5 linked regions of the Sus scrofa genome follow. The protein of the gene in region 1 interacts with the protein of each later gene in a pairwise test. Links are inferred from orthologs where the notes say so. Each region holds a gene or a part of one and is shown in the gene's direction. Other genes may lie near its edges.

Evidence for each region.
Region 2: the proteins of NAPB (region 1) and STX6 interact in binary tests that used the Homo sapiens proteins (3 or more experiments, as listed by UniProt). The two-hybrid records come from large-scale screens. The link is inferred for Sus scrofa from reciprocal best matches to the Homo sapiens genes NAPB and STX6.
Region 3: the proteins of NAPB (region 1) and STX5 interact in binary tests that used the Homo sapiens proteins (3 or more experiments, as listed by UniProt). The two-hybrid records come from large-scale screens. The link is inferred for Sus scrofa from reciprocal best matches to the Homo sapiens genes NAPB and STX5.
Region 4: the proteins of NAPB (region 1) and STX16 interact in binary tests that used the Homo sapiens proteins (3 or more experiments, as listed by UniProt). The two-hybrid records come from large-scale screens. The link is inferred for Sus scrofa from reciprocal best matches to the Homo sapiens genes NAPB and STX16.
Region 5: the proteins of NAPB (region 1) and STX4 interact in binary tests that used the Homo sapiens proteins (3 or more experiments, as listed by UniProt). The two-hybrid records come from large-scale screens. The link is inferred for Sus scrofa from reciprocal best matches to the Homo sapiens genes NAPB and STX4.

Annotation. Positions count from the first base shown.
Region 1 is NC_010459.5:30,393,296-30,397,261, reverse strand, and holds the start of NAPB (beta-soluble NSF attachment protein), read left to right. Parts: upstream 1-1,156; 5' UTR 1,157-1,256; coding exon 1,257-1,354; intron 1,355-3,966. UniProt on the Homo sapiens protein: Required for vesicular transport between the endoplasmic reticulum and the Golgi apparatus.
Region 2 is NC_010451.4:122,542,574-122,546,087, reverse strand, and holds part of STX6 (syntaxin-6), read left to right. Parts: intron 1-303; coding exon 304-429; intron 430-1,659; coding exon 1,660-1,766; intron 1,767-1,985; coding exon of another isoform or gene 1,986-2,022; exon of another isoform or gene 2,023-3,514. UniProt on the Homo sapiens protein: SNARE promoting movement of transport vesicles to target membranes. Targets endosomes to the trans-Golgi network, and may therefore function in retrograde trafficking.
Region 3 is NC_010444.4:8,940,774-8,944,287, forward strand, and holds part of STX5 (syntaxin-5), read left to right. Parts: intron 1-552; coding exon 553-623; intron 624-788; coding exon 789-844; intron 845-966; coding exon 967-1,037; intron 1,038-3,514. UniProt on the Homo sapiens protein: Mediates endoplasmic reticulum to Golgi transport.
Region 4 is NC_010459.5:58,838,865-58,843,149, forward strand, and holds the start of STX16 (syntaxin-16), read left to right. Parts: upstream 1-1,476; 5' UTR 1,477-1,933; coding exon 1,934-2,014; coding exon of another isoform or gene 2,015-2,065; intron 2,066-4,285. UniProt on the Homo sapiens protein: SNARE involved in vesicular transport from the late endosomes to the trans-Golgi network.
Region 5 is NC_010445.4:17,421,754-17,425,073, reverse strand, and holds the end of STX4 (syntaxin-4), read left to right. Parts: intron 1-557; coding exon 558-695; intron 696-2,159; coding exon 2,160-2,270; intron 2,271-2,368; coding exon 2,369-2,449; 3' UTR 2,450-2,467; intron 2,468-2,560; 3' UTR 2,561-2,808; downstream 2,809-3,320. UniProt on the Homo sapiens protein: Plasma membrane t-SNARE that mediates docking of transport vesicles. Necessary for the translocation of SLC2A4 from intracellular vesicles to the plasma membrane.

The DNA of each region.
Region 1 (3,966 bases):
CCTGTGTTCACTGCTGCCTCTAATTTCCTGCCTCCTTCTTCCCCAATACTGCTCCAAATTAGCTCTTTGAAGTCAGAATAACAGATGCAGTGAAAGTAAATAAACTCTGGGATCTGAAGCTCCCTTCAGTCTGGAGTGCCTGCACTGCAAGCTCTGCAACATTTGCTTTAGTGACCTTTCTTTCTAGGAGTTTGGCCCTTCTTGCCTTTCTCTCAAGACAGCTTCATTTTCTTAAATGTATTTTGTGTGCCAGTGCCCACAGTGTATTTATTAATAGTTTGAAATTGTCACAAGTTCTCATTTGGCAGTGGTTTTCATATTTGCTTCACCACCTCTGCTTTAGCATTGCCAAATGTAAATGGTCTAGACTTTGTATGAAAAAATAACTCCCTCTGGGACAGTCCTGGAAGTTGCTGGCACACAATAGCCCCTATCTATGGATACCTCTCCTGGGAGATTCGAAGTCTTCCTGGCAGGGAGAATGGCTGTCCCAGAGGCCCACCCCACAATATGGCCAACATTATGTAAAGAGCAAGAGAGCTCAATTGCTCACATCCACTGAAAAGAATCCAGTCAATAAAAAGGGAGAATTATGCACATATTGCATATGTGCAAGTCTTCTATAGCCTAGGAAGAGACGCCTGACAGATCTAAACGCCTTGCTCTGGAGAAAAACATGGCTCTTCCTGCAGCTGTAGCTGGAGCGTGGGAAGATGGGCCAGTATCACAAGGTTTGTGCAGCTGCTTGGGTGGCCGCCTTACAGCGTGCTCTCAGAATGCAAGCGGTACAGTGGAGCTTTCCAGCCTGCCACCCGCCGTCTCCCGGTCCACGCCGTTATCCCGCGTCCCATCCATCCCGTTATCCCGTGTCCTCCCCGTCCATCCCCTGACCACGGTCGGTCGTGCTGGGCAGGGACTCCTGAACTAACGTGATGCTAGTGTTTGAGGCGGTCTTCCTTGGAAGCCGTGGGAACTTTTCCATTTCCCGCCTCCTTAAACTGTCAATACTCTCCTCGGTAGAGGGCCCTACAGAGGGTGAGGACCCCGGTCCCGAAGCCCCTGCCTCCAGCCGGCTCCGCGGCCTTCTGGGAGTTGTAGTTGACGCCTCGCACACTCCCGCCGCCAGGCCACCGCTCGGACTACAACTTCCGACAGGCTGCGCGCCGCGCCTGCGCGCCCCTCCGCTGCCAGAGGACGAGGCGCGGGAGACGCGTTCGGCTCGGGAGTAGCTTGTGGAGGCGGCCGCGGCTGTCGACATGGACAACGCAGGGAAGGAGCGAGAGGCGGTGCAGCTGATGGCGGAGGCCGAGAAACGAGTCAAGGCCTCCCACTCCTTCCTCCGCGGGCTCTTTGGGTGAGCGCCAGACCGCGCGGGTCCTGAGGGGAGGGTTTCCATTCCAGGAGGCGGCCCACACTTTACTCAGGGTCCCCGGGGCCTTCCACGCGCCCTTCAGGGGTCCCCTAGGATCCCCCGGGCACCCACAAACCTTTGGGGACCACCGAGCTCCCCCCATCCCCCCACGCGCACGCCAGGAAGTCTCTCCACCCCCCGGCCCCGCCCCCACACACCCCAGGGATCCCCAAGGGCACTCTATAACCCCCCCACACACGCCCTCCTGGGACCCTCTCGGCCACCCCGACACTCTCCAGGGATTCCCTAGGACCCTCAAGCGCGCACCCTCCCCGACCTGGCGTTCGTGGCCCTCCCCACCGCAGCCACACGGGTTTGTTATTTCTCCACGCGTAGCTCAGGAGACCTGAGTGGGTGGAGGCGCTGGGAGGGTGGGCGGCGGGCTGGTGGTGGGGCCTAGCTTCCCGCATTCCACCACCCTGTGCCCGCGCCCCTTGCGCCAGGTACACATTTAATAAATACCCGTGGGAGGAACGAGTACGTTTTCTTCGTAGAAGGTTCATGTGAAACCCAGCCCAGGGCTTCCTACGGATTAAGGATAACGTAGCTCCTCTTTTAAGTCTGCGTCTTTGGGGAATCCCGTCCATTTTCAGTGATTCTTCTGTGCTTTCCTAGGGAAGGTCTTAAATTCGGACTTCCCAAAAAAGCAGAGCCTGCACTGACAGTTCTTGGACAGTAGAATATGTGAATGATTCAGCTGTTTAGGATGAGAGAGGCGGAAAATTCGTGGTGTTTTTCCGTTTTTCCCTTTGGAAAGGGAAAGATCCTCTGCGGACACCCAGAGCAAGTTTTTATTCTGAGGAGGACCAGGGACCCATCCTTAACTGTTGCGCTATTAGACACAGGTTTATTTCAGTTTAGAACCTGCTCGTTTTGCCACCCTCGTTCTTTTGGTTGTAATACTTAATCGTTGTTGAGCATCTCCATGAAATGCTAACTGCAGGTTTCACGCAGTGCTGGAGTGCGGGCTCAAAGGTACCAAAGGTCATTTATCCCAGCTGGTTTCTCAATTTCTCAGGTGATGTGAAGTTTGGATTATAGCAGTGAATTATAAATTTATTCCCCCCTTAAAAGTTAGGACAGTACATAAGGAGCCACTGCTTCTTACTTGATGGGAACACCAAACAAGAGTCCTTTCTCTGGTTCACAAAACAATTACAATTTATTCAATAAAATTTAACCACATAGCACCTCATGCCTAGAGGCAGTCTTAATGGCTCAGCATCTCAAGTCTGCATGGGCTTCCCTGGATGAGAACCTGTAATTGGCAGGGGAAAAAGCCTCAGGCACTTGATGCTTCTCAGGGGAGTGCCCCTTTCTATGCGGAGATGTTGCGGTGCTGTTTTTGTCACACTAGGCCAAATCTTGAGCCAGTAATTCTAAAAGGATTTTGAAAAGGCTTTTTGTTTTTAGAGAAAGGTCTTTTTCCTCCTTGACTGTTGATCACCTGTTTCGTTGGCAGGCTTTGATCCTCACCTTCACACTCAGTTTGCAGGAAAGTCAGTGCATCCTAGGTTGGGCCTGGATCCAGCAGGTCAGTCTGTCATTCTTGCTTTGGGCCTGGGGCATGTTCATTAGCCCCTCTGTGCCTAAGTTTCCTCTGCTATAAAATAGGGGTCACAGAGATACCTCAGTGAGTGAAGGTTCCAGGAGTATATGCTTGTAAAACATTGAGAATCATTAAAGATGGAGACGGTGAAATATTCATTAGCATATTCATTAGAATTGTCAGGCCCAGTTATTTTCAAGGAAGCAGAGAGCCAGACAGATCAAGTGGCTTTGCCAGGATTTCAGAGTCAAAGACCTTATGGACCGGATCATCAGTCTTTTCATGATGTAAAATATTTGAAAGAGCTTTGCCCCATGTAAGTGGTACTTATACTACGAGGACTGTGTGTTCAGTAATACTGGGCTCCAGAACAGCTTGGGGAAGATGCGTACTCAGTTCTCTGAGAGCTAATAGCATTATATAACTCCTTGAATCCAAAAACCAGGCCTGACTTTTCTGTTACTGTTGTGGGAAGAGTGATTCTGCACAGTGTTAGGTGTTTAGGATCTTACGTTACACCTGGCATCACTTGGAGCTGTCATCACCTTCTTAGGCGGGGGCACATGTCCCCCTGCCTCCCATCCCTCAGCCAAAGAATTCCCTGTCTGCTTGTTAAGCCACAGTGAACTCCATCTTCATGTCAGACTCCTCGGTAACACTCAGCCACAGAGTATCGAAGTATCACAAAGTCCATGTGCTTAAGAGCCAACAGTTGTGCTTTGAAGAGGGCAGTTGATGCTGCTTGGGACCAGGGCGGCCCTTACAAGGTGCCCAGCGGGCCACAGACCCCTCATCCCGGCTGCAGATTAAAACCTGATAGCAGTTGGTCCTCTTCACTCACTGTTGATACACCTCCTGCGCCAGTTTTGTGGCAATGCTGTATTCTCACTACTATTCTGTAGCGCTTCCTTTTTTGTTGCTTTCAGTAAAATTAGATGAAAACACGCATTATGTGTTCCGAGGAAAAGGCAGTCACACATTCTCCTATGTGTAAGATGCAAGTCCA
Region 2 (3,514 bases), on another chromosome or scaffold:
AGGACACCAAGTGTTTTTTAGATCCATAAAGCAGTACCCACACAGGCATTTGTTGATTTAAAGTTGACTTTTGTTTGCATTTCATTGGACAGAGCCCATTTGCAAGTCTCACTGGGAGATCTTGGAGACAGAGTTCCTTCCTAGCATTGGTTAAATTGTACCACGCAGGCACCAGCCTCCACCACTACCTAAAAGGCTGACCCCAGAGAAGATGGCGTATGCACAGCGGGAGAGCTCTCTATATCACGGTGATGGGGCGCTCGTTCAGAGGTGCTAATTGTTTCTTCTGCCTTGCCCTCGCAGGCCCTGCTAGGAGACAGTGGCGGGCAGAACTGGAGCACTGGGACGACGGATAAATATGGGCGCCTCGACCGGGAGCTCCAGCTGGCCAACTCCCATTTCATCGAGGAACAGCAGGCACAGCAGCAGGTACCTGAGACCCACAGCTGAGGACAGGGAGGTAGGAGGTGGGGGCACCTCCCTCCGCTCCCCTGCCAGCAGGCCTTTGTTGCTAATGACAGGCGGGATGGACCCGAGCTCGCCCTGCAGCTGCCTGAGTCTACCTGTGTGATGATTGCCTGTATCAAGGGTGTTTACAGCTTCCTTCAGAGCATGACAGCTTGAAGAGAACCAAGCTTGATTAGATTTCTTAGGACAAGCAGACCAGACACCCAGAGCTAACAGAGGCCATTGACTTAAAAATAGTAGCCTCTTCTGCATCCTCTACTTGTGAGCTCAGCTTTTTGTTCATTTCCACAAAGGCACTTTCAGAAAAATTGAGTCTTTGTTTTTTCATTGAAAATTATTGTTGGTTCCATTATACATAAAAAGTGATTGCTTTGGTGGAAGTTAAAGGGTAAAAGGAAGGTGAGATTGGTTACATCTGTATAATTGCTTCTGCTGTGCCGTCATATTACTAAAAGGAAGCTAATGGTAAAATGTCTGGGCATTTGAGGATTATCTATGTGTCAGAACTATTGGTTCTTAAATATGGTGTTTCCTGTATACCCATAAGTTACATGTTCCTCTTCCATTAGCACATTGGCCTAACCAGTTGTCTACTTAAATCTCTATTAGCCAAGAAAACTTTTTTTTTTTTAATAAAAAGTGAGGAGGCTAAAGTAATTCTTGCTCAAAAGTTGTCCTGGAGGTAACTTGCTGCCTCAGAGCCTCTTCTAGTTTGTCCTTGAGGAGGGAGCAGTAGACTCTGTGTGCATGGTTTTCTCACGTCCAGAGAAGATCTGCCAGACTTTCTCTTGTAGTTAAGCTGTGGCTGGCTGTGGCGGATTGAGACCTTGACCCTGGCAGCGGGCTTCCTTTTCCCAAGCTTCCCCATGTGTCTCTGGTCACTGCACAGGTGCTTTTGCCTATTGTCTGCTCCTTGTTGGACTTCAGCCAAGCAGGGTAAATCTCCCTGGGTGGTTTCAAGCCCTGCTGACTGTTCACAAGTTGGAGCAGCAGGGGATGGCCATAGCTTGACAACCCAGCCTTTTGAGCAGCATGTTCTCGGAGGCGACGGTCTGGTCCTTTGATTTCTGGGCTTTGCTTCTGAATGTGAATTGTCCCGAGTTGGCAAAGAAGCTAGCAGCTGCTCGGGTGCTGGGCTTGGAATCAGGTAAGATGGATTTAATTGCTTATTTCCCATTTCTCTGGCACCAGCTGATCGTGGAACAGCAGGACGAGCAGTTGGAGCTGGTCTCTGGCAGCATCGGGGTGCTGAAGAACATGTCCCAGCGCATCGGAGGGGAGCTGGAGGAGCAGGCAGTGTGAGTGCTGAGACGCCCCTCTTGCTGCAGGGAGGTGGGGAGGACCCCTAAAAAGCCTGACAGTTACATGGCTAGAAAAACCAAAAGCTGTTTTGTTTATAGCTGCATCTTTATTCTGTTTTACAAACTAGCCTCTCCAAAAGAAGCAAATCTGTCAGATGCAATTTTCAACAGGGTTTAGGCAAAGTTATTAATATTTTTAAACACCTGAAAAAACAGGTGCAAATTCCTCTGGACACTTGAAGTGCTGTTATGAATGGACATGTGAAACTGATAATGGCTGTGTGACCTCTGGAGATACTTGTCCCAAAGAGGAGAGGACCTAGGTCACCTTAACATCCTGTGACTCTCCAGCTACACCAAATAGAACTTTTTGCTCTGCATCTTAAATTTTGATTTCCATAAAGGAAATAAAGTATAAATTTAGTTCCCATTAATAAAAAAATCTTCCTCCTCCAAAATAAAAAGTGAAAACACAAAAGACATAACTGGATTTTTTCGTTTTTCCTTAAGAATGATCTCTTTGTGCACCCCACCCATCCTTTTTTGGCCATGCCCACTGCATGTGGAAGTTCCCGGGCCAGGGATTTAAACCTGAGCTGCTACAGTGCCAACGCTAACCCACCGATCCAGCAGGGCACTCCCATGTGCTCCTAAAGTATGATACCCAAACCAGCATTCTTAAATGATGCCACATAACACCCTATTTTACAAATATTTTTTTCTGAAAAAAACAAACAAACAAAAAAAAACGCAGTTCTGCTAGGATATTTCAGACACTCTTCTACCTCAGTTTTGTGTTCCACATCATAGATTCATTCATTACAGATTCAAACTGGGCATCTTGTTCTGTGGGAAGTCCTCTGGTATCCAAAGAAGAGCCAGGAGAATAGACGGTGTCTCTGTCATCATAGAGGCCACTGGATGGATTGCTACAGGTCATTAATGGTGACAGAGAAGTGCAGGGTGCCATGATGGGGGAAGTGCGAGTGCCTGGAGAGCCCTGATAGCCTAAACTGCAGACCTAACGTCTAAAGTCCCTGAGACGAGAAGAGGGGTTAACAGGGACTGGAAGGATGAGTAGAAGGCAGCCAGGCGGGGTGAGATTGGGGGTGGGAGGAGGGAGCGGAAAGGGGGTCTAATGAAAGGACGGAAGAGCCCCTGTGACAATTCAGAGCTGGAAAAGTACATGGAACAGAGAAGGTGAGTGTGTCCAGAGCATGGGGATTGAGAGGGATGTTGCAGGAGTCAAATCAAGGAGGCAGAGAACGGATCAGAGAAAGCCTTAGAAGCCATGTTAAGGAGGTAGGACTTTTTATGCAAAGGGTAATGGGAAATAGAACCCCAGCGAAGGAAGGCTGTTGTTAGTAATGCCATGATCGGGTTTACCTTTGGGGGGAAGCCCATGTATCTGTGGTCTAGATGGTGAACCATAGTGGAAAAGACCAGACGCAGGGAGACCAGGAAGCTGGCGGAACAGGAATCTAGGCATTCAGATTAATTTGTCTAAAATGCGTACCTACCCTAAAATTCATTATGGGAATAGGAAAGGACTAATTGCTTGAGCAATTATCCATGTGAGGGAGACAGCAGAGCCTGGCGGACATCCATTTAAAGATGGTGAAGAGAACACAACCTTTCATCTCTGCTCCCTCTCTAAAGTCCACTGGAATAGTGACGGATTAACTTTTTTTAATAGCATAAAACCTGTGGAACATAGAGCTTCAAATAAGAAACAAAGGCCATAA
Region 3 (3,514 bases), on another chromosome or scaffold:
CAGGAATTGAACCTGTGACGTCATGGTTCCTAACCACTGAGCCATGACGGGAACTCCCCCCCTTATATTTTTTAATTTTAGCAACAACAATAGGAGGTGTCTTCGTTTTATAGAAGAGGAAATAGAGATTCAGAATGGTTTATGTAACTTGTCCCAAGCTCCCATCTAGTGATTGGTGATGTCAAGATTTGAACCTGTGTCTACCTGTGTGGACTGTCTGGTGGAGGATGCCACTGGTGCTGGAGGATGAGTTTAGCAGACACCTGAGGAATAGTGAGAGCTGGAAATGGGGAGGGAAAGCTAAAGTTCTGCCTCTTGGAGTTCCATGGCTCAGCAGAAATGAATGTGACTAGCATCTGTGAGAAGGCGGGTTCGATCCCTGGGCTCCCTCAGTGGGTTAAGGATCCAGCTTTGCTGTGGCTGTGGCTGTGGCCGGCAGCAGCAGCTCCAGTTTGACCCGTAGCCTGGAAACTTCCATGTGTTGCGTGGGCGGCCCTAAAAAGAAAGCCAAAAAAAAAAAAAAAAGGTCTACCTCTTGACATTGCCTTTCAGAATGGAATCCAGACAAACAAGCCAGCTCTGCGGGCTGTCCGGCAGCGCAGTGAATTCACCCTCATGGCCAAGTGAGTTGAGAGTAGTTTTGTGGTGGGATGACTAGCATCTAAAGAGAAGTAGCCTTGCCTGTGGCCTGGGCTCCAGGGGGGCTGGGGTTGGTGGTGCTGGTGCTAATGTGGGAAAGGCCCTCTCCTTCGCTTCCCCGCAGCGTTCTCACTAACTCCCGTTTGCAGGCGCATTGGCAAAGACCTCAGCAACACCTTTGCCAAGCTGGAGAAGCTGACAATCCGTGAGTGTTCTTGGGGCGTTGGAGAGCTGGGGCAGTGAAGGAACCAGAGAGGGCTGAGGAGCCGGACTGCTTGAGCCTTGTCTTCAACCTCACCTGTCATGGCCTCTTGTTTATCTCTGTAGTGGCCAAGCGCAAGTCCCTCTTTGATGATAAAGCAGTGGAAATCGAGGAGCTAACTTATATCATCAAACAGGTGAGCACCTAGCGATCGGGAAAGCCCAGCACCCCAATCAGATCACTCCCATCATTTTTCCCTGCTGTGGGAGCAAGTTTCTAGAGCCCGCCCCCAACATCCTGCTCATCCATTGTGTCAGTAGGCACTTAGTGGTCATCTACTGTGTACAAAGCACTGTGCTGGGTATTTGCTGCATAAAAGTTACGAGGCAGGATTCCTGCTCTCCAGAGCTTATTGTCAGAGTTCCCCTTGTGGTGCAGTGGAAACGAATCTGACTAGGAACCATGAGGTTGCAGGTTCGATCCCTGGCCTCACTCAGTGGGTTAAGGATCCAGCGTTGCCGTGAGCTGTGGTGTAGGTCGCAGATGCTGTTTGGATCTGGCGTTGCTGTGGCTCTGGCGTAGGCCAGCGGCTACAGCTCCGATTTGACCCGTAGCCTGGGAACCTCCATGTGCTACGAGTGCAGCCCTAAAAAAAAAAAAGAGCTTATTGTCTAGAAAAGGTATCCGCCCCCATAAACACACGCAGTGAATAGGAGGCGAGTGGTACAGAAAAGATATCCTTTTCTTTTTCCTTTTTCTTTTTCTTTTTACAGCTGACCTGCGGCATATGGAAGTTCCCAGGCTTAGAGGTCGAATCGGAGCTGCAGCTGCCAGCCTACGCCACAGCCACAGCCACATGGGATCTGCAATACATCTCTGACCTACACCATGGCTTTCAGACCCACACTGCTGCTTGTGGCAACTCCAGATCCTTAACCCAATGAGTGAGGCCAGGGATCAAACCCACATCCTCATGGACACTATGACAGGTTCTTAACCCGCTGAACCACAACAGGAACTCCCAGAAAAGGTCTTACAAAAAGATAAATGAGATAGTCCAGGGACGCTGGGAAAGATTTTATAGAGAAGGTGAAATCTGAGCTGGTTTCAAGGCTCGTATAGAGGCAGTGGAAGAATATTCCAGAAAGAGGAAACAGTGTGTGCAGTGGCATGTCTCGTAAGAGGGAAAATTCCGGGCTCTGCTCGGAAGTCACCTGCCCAGGGAGGCCTGCTGTCACTGTACTGTTCAACACCCCCGCACCCCAAACTCTGATCTCCCTTCCCTTGCTCTGTTTTCTTTCTCTTTCTTTTTTTTCGCTTTTTTTCTTTTTTAAAAAATTAATTAATTTTATTACATTTATAGATGTACAACAATCATCACAACCAAATTTTACAGCATTTCCATCCCAAACCCTCATCTGTTTTCTTTTTTTATAGCATTTTTATGTACATTCTAATGGTTTCTGTGATTACCTTTCTTATGTTTATGGTTTGTCTCTGTTTCCTCCCACTTACCTCATCTCCCTCAAAAAGAAAAAAAAAGTGTGAATGCCATAACGGCAGAGATTTTTCTTCCTGTTTGTTTATAGATGTATCCCAAGTGCCTGTAACAGGGTCTGGCATATAGTGGATACTCAATATTTGTTGATCAGTTGAGTGACTGGCCGCAGATAAGGCTGGAAGAGTAGATTGGTAGCTGGTTGTGAAGATCACTGTGGGTGGACACTAGTCATATTTGTTTCCGCTGAGCCACAACAGCAACTCCCTAATAGTTTGATTCTTTTCTTTCTCAGAACAATGTAATAAGAATAAAATGAGAAATTGAATCATCTTCTTTTTTTTTTTTGGTCTTTGTGCCTTTTCTAGGGCCACTCCCACGGCATATGGAGGTTCCCAGGCTAGGGGTCTAATTGGAGCTGTAGCCACCGGCCTACGCCAGAGCCACAGCCACTCGGGATCCGAGCCACGTCTGTGACCCACACCACAGCTCTCGGCAACGCCGGATCCTTAACCCACTGAGCAAGGCCAGGGATTGAACCCGCAACCTCATGGTTCCTAGTAGGATTCGTTAACCACTGCGCCATGATGGGAACTCTGAAATTGAATCATCTTAGGGTAAAAAAAAAACAACCCTGGAGCGTGGATGAACTGAGAAGCTAGGGAGGAGACTCGTGTGATTGCCAGTAGGAAGGTGATTATGGCAGAGGCCAAAGGGCAGACACATTCAAGAGATGCTGTGCTGAGACCAAAAGAGAGGGTTCCATTAAGTCTTGGGGCGTTATTGCATAGGCATTTAAGAACCACTGACTGCGGGAGTTCCCGTAGTGGCTCAGCGGTAATGAACCCCGCTAGGATCCATGAGGATTCAGGTTTGATCCCTGGCCTCCCTCAAGTTGGTTAAGGATCAGGCATTGCCACAGACATAACTCGAGTCTGGCGTTGCTGTGGCTGTGGTGTAGGCTGGCAACTGCAGCTCTGATTTGACCCCTAGCCTGGGAACTTCCATATGCTGTGGGGTCGGCCCTCAAAAGCAAAACAAAAGAAAACGAACAAAAGAACCACTGACTGGATTCAGACAGACTTCAAAACCTGGGCTCACCACTCATGGGTAAGCTACCTGACTACCCTGAGCTTCATTCCCCTTATAAATAAAAAGGCCACAATAATAGTACC
Region 4 (4,285 bases), about 28 Mb from region 1:
CCGGGGTAGGGGAAACCCGTCCTGCCGGAGCCCCGAGCCCGGGGAAGGCGAGGCCGTTCCGCGATCCCGACCCGCTCAGGCCCGCGCGCCCAGCCCAGGCCGCTTCTGGCTTGGGCTTCGGCTCGGGGGCGCCCATAGGGTAACCTCCTGCCACCGGTGGGGTGGCCTTGGGCGGCTCGTGGCGTGGCCCCGGGGCCAGACACCCCGCAGGACTCTGGCCTCCCTTGCGGGGTGACCGCAGGGCCGCTGCCCGCCGCGTTCGGGCTCGGGTAGCTGGATCCCAACGCGCTCAAGCGGAGCCCCCTCCCGAATCCCGCCTATCCGGACACCCAACAGAGTGTCGGGGTCGTGGGGGGTCTCCCGGACCCGATCCGACTGCGGGAAAACGAGCCGGGGGCGCCGGGGGCGCGGGGCCAGGCTTGGCACGCGGGCCCAGGGGGTAGGGAAAAGTTGTTGGGGGCGGGGGGCTGTCGAAGTTTCGGGGAACTTTTCCACTTGAGATTCTACAACCCTGCAGTGCCCCCTACAGAAAGCTGCAGCCGGGGAGGGCGGGCGCCCCCCACGACCCCCCCGGCTGCCAGCAGCGGCGCGGCCCAGGCGGCCTGGAGCTCTAGCTGTAGCTTTGGCATTTTTTTTTTACCCCCCCTCCTGGTTGTTTTTCTGATACATCTTTTTTTTTCAGAATTGGAGAAAAAAAAAAAAAAAAAGCGAGCGCGAGCCGCCGCCTGCAGTGGAGCGTGCTCGGCCTCCAGAGGCAGTCGTCTCCAACTTTTCCTCTCCCTCCCCAACTCCGCGCGCGTCTCGAAACTTCGGCGCTGCTGGAGCCCAAATTTGCCTGCCGCTCGACTCCACTCTAATAAGCGCGCCAAGGCCCCTGGCACTTGTCTGCAACGTGGGGGCCACGCTCTCGAGGCTCAGGCCTGCCCGCAGGCCCGCTCCCGGTGCCTAGGCCCAGTTAGGGAAGGGGAAACCGAGCGGTCCCGGGAGCACCCCGGGAGAGGGCGGAGCGCGCCCGTGCCCCGGGGCAGAGGGGTAGGGATCTCCCGCGCCCGGAACGTTGCGAGCAAGGCTTGTGAACGTCGCAGGGGGGCACTCGCGAGAGACGGACAGGAAGAGGGCCAGGGGGAACGCCAGAACCCGGGACCGTAGCACGGAAACGGCCCGGGGCTGAGCAGCAGGCAGATCCGGGGATGGAGGGAGCCGGAGAAGAGGAGTGAGGAGGCCGTGGGGGCAGGCCCTGCTGCCCTCCTGGAGGCCGGCAGCCTGCTGTGGCAGTGGAGAAGCGGGCTGCCCACAAAGGGAAGGGGTCAGGAGGTCGGGCCCCGGCCCTAGCAGGCTCCGACAAGGCCCCAGTGGGGAGCAGCAGCAGCCCAGGGCCCAGGCCTGGCCTCGGGTTGGCCAAAGGGGGCCTAAACCAGGCCTCCCCGGCCTCTGCTGGGGGAACTGAGCCAGAGGCAGGCCTCAGGGCACGGCCCAGACGCGTGTGAGCCCTGCTAGAGCGAGGGAACCAGAGGGAACCAGGGCCCTAAAGGGTGTCAGAGACTAATGTGGTAGGGGGCTTCAGAGCCTCCCAGTCCAGAGCCGGATTGGCGAGTTAGACGCTTGTAGATCCGAGGTCGGATTGGGGAGGGGGTCTCTGGGAAGTTGGCTAGCAACGCAAGGATTGGGGGGATTTAAGTGCTTAGAGATCGAAGCAGGTCGTGGGGAGGGGGACTCAGACAATTGGAAAGCCTGGGCGGTTATTTGGGGAGGGGTCTTTGCGCTCAGAGGAAGCTCGAAGCAGCACCTGCTTGGCTAAAGGCCTGAGGCTTTGTCAAGAGAAGCTTCTGTGGAGGGGGGGGCCCGACTAGGCCAAGCTGCAAGAAAGAAAGTGAATAAACCTGGACTTGAAGTGGGTGGGGGCCCCTGAGAGGGGAATCACAAAGGGTGAGCCATGGCCACCAGGCGTTTAACCGACGCTTTCTTGTTGTTGCGGAATAATTCCATCCAAACCCGGCAGCTGTTAGCCGAGCAAGTGAGTAGTCACACCACCTCCAGCCCTCTGCATTCACGTAGCATTGCTGCGGTGAGTCTCTTGGCGGCCTCTCCGACACACGCCCCGTGTGCACTGCGGCTCTGCCTGTCTGTCTGTCTCTGTCTGTCTCTCTGTTTAAAAAAGAAGATAAGTCTAGCACGGAAGTGCAAGGTCTCTTGGCAAAGGTCCGAGAGCAGCGATAACCCTGGATGGGGGAAAAAAAAAAACAACAGTTTGAGGCCCCCGTTCCACCTCTGCCTTGCCCTCTCTCACTTCCGCATCCCTTCCAATTCCTCCCCCTTCCCCCCCCCAGCCGTCACTGCACGACCGGCCGCCTCCAATTTACATATGTTTTAGCGCTAAGATTTGGAAGCTTTGGGCCTTTTTTGTTTCATTTTGTTTTAGCCGCCCCCCCCTCCGCCCCCGCATCCTGAGCCTCGCTTTGGTTCTCAGGGTCGAGATGCAGGATCTCAGACCTAAATCCTTGCAAATGAACCATACCCTCCCCCAAACGAGGAAGGAGCTGGTGTTTTATTATTTTTTTTTTCCCCCCCTGTTTTCTTTTAATGGCCTCGCAGCCCTCTGGGTGGCCGTGTTCCCTGTGAATAATTGCTTCCCTGTTTTTTTCCTGGGGGCTCTTTTTGTGAGGCTGTAAGGTGCTAGCTTCCTCGTTTACCATTCCCAGACAGGAAATTAAGCGTTCCCCTCCATGCGAACTTTAAAAACAAAAAGACAAACAAAAAAACCAGGGCGTGTATGTGAAAATTAAACCCCCCGCCCCAATAGCACAGGGTTTTCTATTTAATTCACCTGAACCTTTCCTTAGCCCAGCAGTAGAATCTTTTACTGGGGAGGGCCTGGGAAGATGACTGTTGTGGGGGTTTGTTTGTTTTGGCTGAGGGTTACTTTCCCTTTTCTGAACCTCAGTTTCCTGCTCTGTTGAATAAGGGGGTGAGAGGGGGTGGGCTCGGGGAGAGGGCCTTGGTGGGCTCTGTGCTGTCTTGAATTGGAAGGTGAAGGAAGACCTGAAACTATAGTCTGTCGTGGGCTCCTTGCTGGAGCCAGGCTGAGTCTGAAAAGAAGCGCATTGGAGAAAGAGCCAGTGGAGTCTGGCTGAGACCGTATTCTTGGGGGTTATACTGGACACACTCAGTTTGGGGGACCTCACCCTTGTTTCACCTCTTAGGGACTGTTTTCCCCTTTTCGTTTTTTTCTTTATGACTTGATCTAAATGCTTCAGAAGAATTATGCCATCTGTCCTGCTCAGTGGCAGAGCGCCTGCAAAGGCAGTTTCTTCCCTTTTGTAAATCACAAGTGCAGAATGTCTTTGGCCATCTTGCTTATAGAGAAAAGCTGTTTTAAACTGTGTGAGCAATTTTAGGCATAAAATCACAGTCAATTTAGGTCAAAAAGCATAGAAAATGGGGTGTTTAGGCTTTCATTTGCTCAGGAATTTGAAGGTTTTTTACATTTGTACACTGAAAGAAATGGGATTTTATTGAAGTAAGTGCAAAAGGGAAAAGGGCTAATTCTAGCGCTGATTTTGAAAAGAATGTTCTGAAATAAGCCAAGACGGAGAGCGTAGAATTGAATGGGAAAAAAAAAAAAAAATTCCTTAAGGGAACTTTAGTTTTGTTAAATAGGATGTAAAAATTAAATGGTTCCTTAAATGGCTTGATTTTATGCTACCTCATGGGGGGAAAAAAAAAGCCAGAATTAAAACTCTTGTTAAGATTTCTAAGATATCAGTTTTAACTGATTTTAAAACATAATATTTGCCTTAAAATGTTTAATCATTTAAGGTTCAAAATACACTGAACCGTTGGATAGCAGGAGGCTTTTTTTCTTTTTTAATCATTGGGTCAGATGGTATAAAAATCTGGTGTCTAATAAGACGGGCAGCTTTTTAAAAGTGCATCTCTAAGTCAAAACCTGTTTTTAAAATGGTTTGCTAAGTTAGGCAATTTAAAAAATATATAAACTAAGTCAATTTAAAATATGTAGCTAAAATACACAATTTGGAAAAATAGATATGTCAGAAAATGCACAGATGTATTTAGCTATCTCCTACATATTTTTGAAAATAGATTTCTAACTCAAACTGAAAAAACATGTCTAAGGCAGAACACTAGAAAATATTTTCTGTGTATTACACCATGTAACATGTTAACACATATTGGTTTGACTATTTAAAATCTTTTTCAGATCATTTTTAAGCAATTGGATCATTTAAAATATCTTTGTAGTTGGTTCAGACTATTTAAAAAATAG
Region 5 (3,320 bases), on another chromosome or scaffold:
GATGGCCATTCTGACTGGTGTGAGATGGTATCTCGTGGTAGGTTTGATTTGCATTTCTCTAATAATCAGGGACATTGAGCATTTTTTCATGTGCTTGTTGGCCATCTGTATATCTTCCTTGGAGAAATGTCTGTTCAGATCTTTTGCCCATTTTTCCATTGGGTTGTTGGCTTTTTTGTGGTTGAGTTGTGTAAGTTGCTTATATATTCTAGAGATTAAGCCCTTGTCAGTTGCATCATTTGAAGCTATTTTCTCCCATTCTGTAAGTTGTCTTTTTGTTTTCTTTTTGGTTTTCTTTGCTGTGCAAAAGCTTGTCGGTTTGATTAGGTCCCATTGGTTTATTTTTGCTTTTATTTCTGTTGCTTTGGGAGAAAATAGCCATAAGGTTGATGTCTGAGAATGTTTTGCCTTTGTTCTCTTCCAGGAGTTTGATGGTGTCTTGTCTTATATTTAAGTCTTTAAGCCATTTTGAGTTTACTTTCATGCATCACCATGAACTTCTGAGCCTATGGCTGGTTTCCCTGTGACCTCTCCCTCCACCCCTGTCCACTCTCCAGATACTGAAGGACACACAGGTGACTCGACAGGCTCTAAATGAGATCTCGGCCCGGCACAGCGAGATCCAGCAGCTCGAGCGCAGTATCCGTGAACTTCATGAGATCTTCACTTTTCTGGCTACGGAGGTGGAGATGCAGGTGGGCGCCCCAGGCAGCCGGCTGGGCTTGATCCTGCCCCCACATGTGAGACCTTGCTCAACCAGAACCCCTGCTGTGACTGTCCGCCCACCTCCACTCTTAGCCTCTCTCTGCGAGGCTTCTGTTCTCCTCCAGACTGGCCTGTACTTCCATCTTAGCTGTGCCTCCAAATTGCGTCCTCCTCAGGAGTTCCCCCTGGGGCTTAGCGATAATGAACCCAGCTAGTATCCATGCGGATGTGGGTTCGATCCCTAGCCTCGCTCCATGGGTCAAGGATCTGGCAATGCTGTGAGCTGTGGTGTAGGTTGCAGATGCGGCTCGGATCCTGCATCGCTTTGGCTGTGGCGTAGGCCGGCAGCTGCAGCTCCAATTCATCCCCTAGCCTGGGAACTTCCATATGCTATGGGTGCAGCCCTAAAAAGAAAAAAAAAAAAAGAAAGAAAGAAAAGAAAAATCGTATCCTCCTCAACAGCTACCCAGATGGCCACTCTTCTGTGCACTGCACCCCAGTCCTCAAACTTGAGCCCACCTCGGGCATGGCCCCAACTTTGGCTCCCCCTCCACTAACAGACTCCACCCTTATACCTCTGAGAGCACCTGAACTGCCCCCCAGAGGACCTGCCTCCCAGAACTTGCACAAGCATGGGGCGGGCGATGGTGTTCTTCTCCCAGCCCTGGTCTATAAGAGAAGGGGTGCTTCCAACCCCGTCCAGAAGGAGCTCTTACCCCGTGAGTGCTGGAGCCATTGCTCTTCCCAGGGAAGAGATTTTGCTCAGCAGGAGCACCAGGACCTGAAGGCTGGCAGTGCCGGGAGGAGACAGGGATCAGGGAGCTTCACAGCAGCTGGGAGTCAGGCCTAGAACAGGTGAATTCAGACTGATTTGTGAGGGGACAGAAGCTTGCCCTCCATGAAAAGATATGAGCCATTAAAGGCACCCAGCTCCCAGCCAGCCCTGCCAGTAGAGGCTATAGGTGGCAAGGGAGCAGGGCAGAAGGGACCACAAGGTAGAAGGGGGCTTGGAAGCCCCCTTTGGAGTGTGAACTTCGGCCAGATGTGGTCCTGCCTCCACTTTTGTTTTTTGTTTTGTCTTTTTAGGGCCGCACCCAGGGCATATGGAAGTTCCCAGGCTAAGGGCTGAATCAGAGGTGCAGCTGCCAGCCTACACCACAGCCACAGCAACACCAGATCTGAGCTGCATCTGTGACCTACACCACAGCTCACGGCAACGCCGGATCCTTAATCCACTGAGCGAGGCCAGGGATCGAACCCGCATCCTCTGGGTACGAATCAGGTTCTTAACCCGCTGAGTCACAATGGGAACTTCTCCATGCCTTTGTTAGTGCCCTGTTTTCAGCCAGGAACGCCCTTCAGTCTTGGGGCTGTGGTGGGCAGACAGAGGAGCTGCTGGGCCTCCACCCCGAGTCCCTCCTACCCGCCTGAACCCTCCCTCCTCTTCTGAGCAGGGGGAGATGATCAACCGAATCGAGAAGAACATTCTGAGCTCAGCAGACTATGTGGAACGTGGGCAGGAACACGTCAAGATGGCCCTGGAGAACCAGAAGAAGGCAAGGAAGGTGAGCGTCCCGCCACCCACTCCCCTGCCCTGGGGGGGGCTCTCTCCCCCCGCCCCCCGAGAGTTTCCCCGACCATCCCCCCTCCTCCTCTCCTACAGAAGAAAGTCTTTATCGCCATCTGTTTGTCCGTCACTCTCCTTATCCTGGTGGTCATCATTAGCGTCTCCATTCTGGTGTGACAGCATCGTGGATTCTCGGTGAGATTCTGTGGGGCCCCCCCAGCCTGCCCCCTCCCTGCCCCCAGCCTCTCCTCCTCCCCTCAGACCCTCTTCTCCCTCCTTCCCTTGCAGGCGCTAAGAGCACCAGGGACCCAGGGGCTGCCTTCCCTCCCCGAAGCCAGGGGTGGGCAGGACAGAGCCTCCAGCCCGACCCCTTCCTCACACTGGCCAGAGGGGCAGACGGTTCTTCCAGGGCCGGCAGCCACTCATCCATGGGGCCTCCCCCCCTTGGGCCACCATGCCTGGGGGCAGGCCTGCCGTGTCCTCTTTGGCTGGGACCCGTGGTTTTGTAAGAAATTAAAAAAAAAAAAAAAAAAGTTTGGAGAATCTCCTTTGCACATGTGTTGCTGAAAAGGCTGGTCCAGGGCCTCCAGGTCTCCACCGCCTTCCACCTCCTGGCCACCCTTGCGGACAGGCCCAGCCCAGGTAGCCTCAGATCAGACTGTCCTGGGTGCTGTGGCCATGCCAGCCTGCCACTGCCCTTCTACTCTCCCATGAGAACAGGTGGGGCCGGGAGGGGGTAACACCCACATCAACCCACTGTCCCTGGGGAAAGACCCCGTGACCACCTAACCCCACAGCAGCGAGGCTGGGCCAGGCCAGGCTGGACACGGGTGAGCTGAGTGTGTGTGTGTGGCATCTGAGGGCGCTGCTGAGGCCAAGAAGAGGCACTGTGACAAATAATTGCCTCTGTTAATTTTTTTTTTTTTTTTTCCATTTCTAGGGCCACTCCCACGGCATATGGAGGTTCCCAGGCTAGGGGTCTAATTGGAGCTGTAGCTGCCAGTCTACACCACACCACAGCAATGCAGGATCCGAGCCGCGTCTGCCA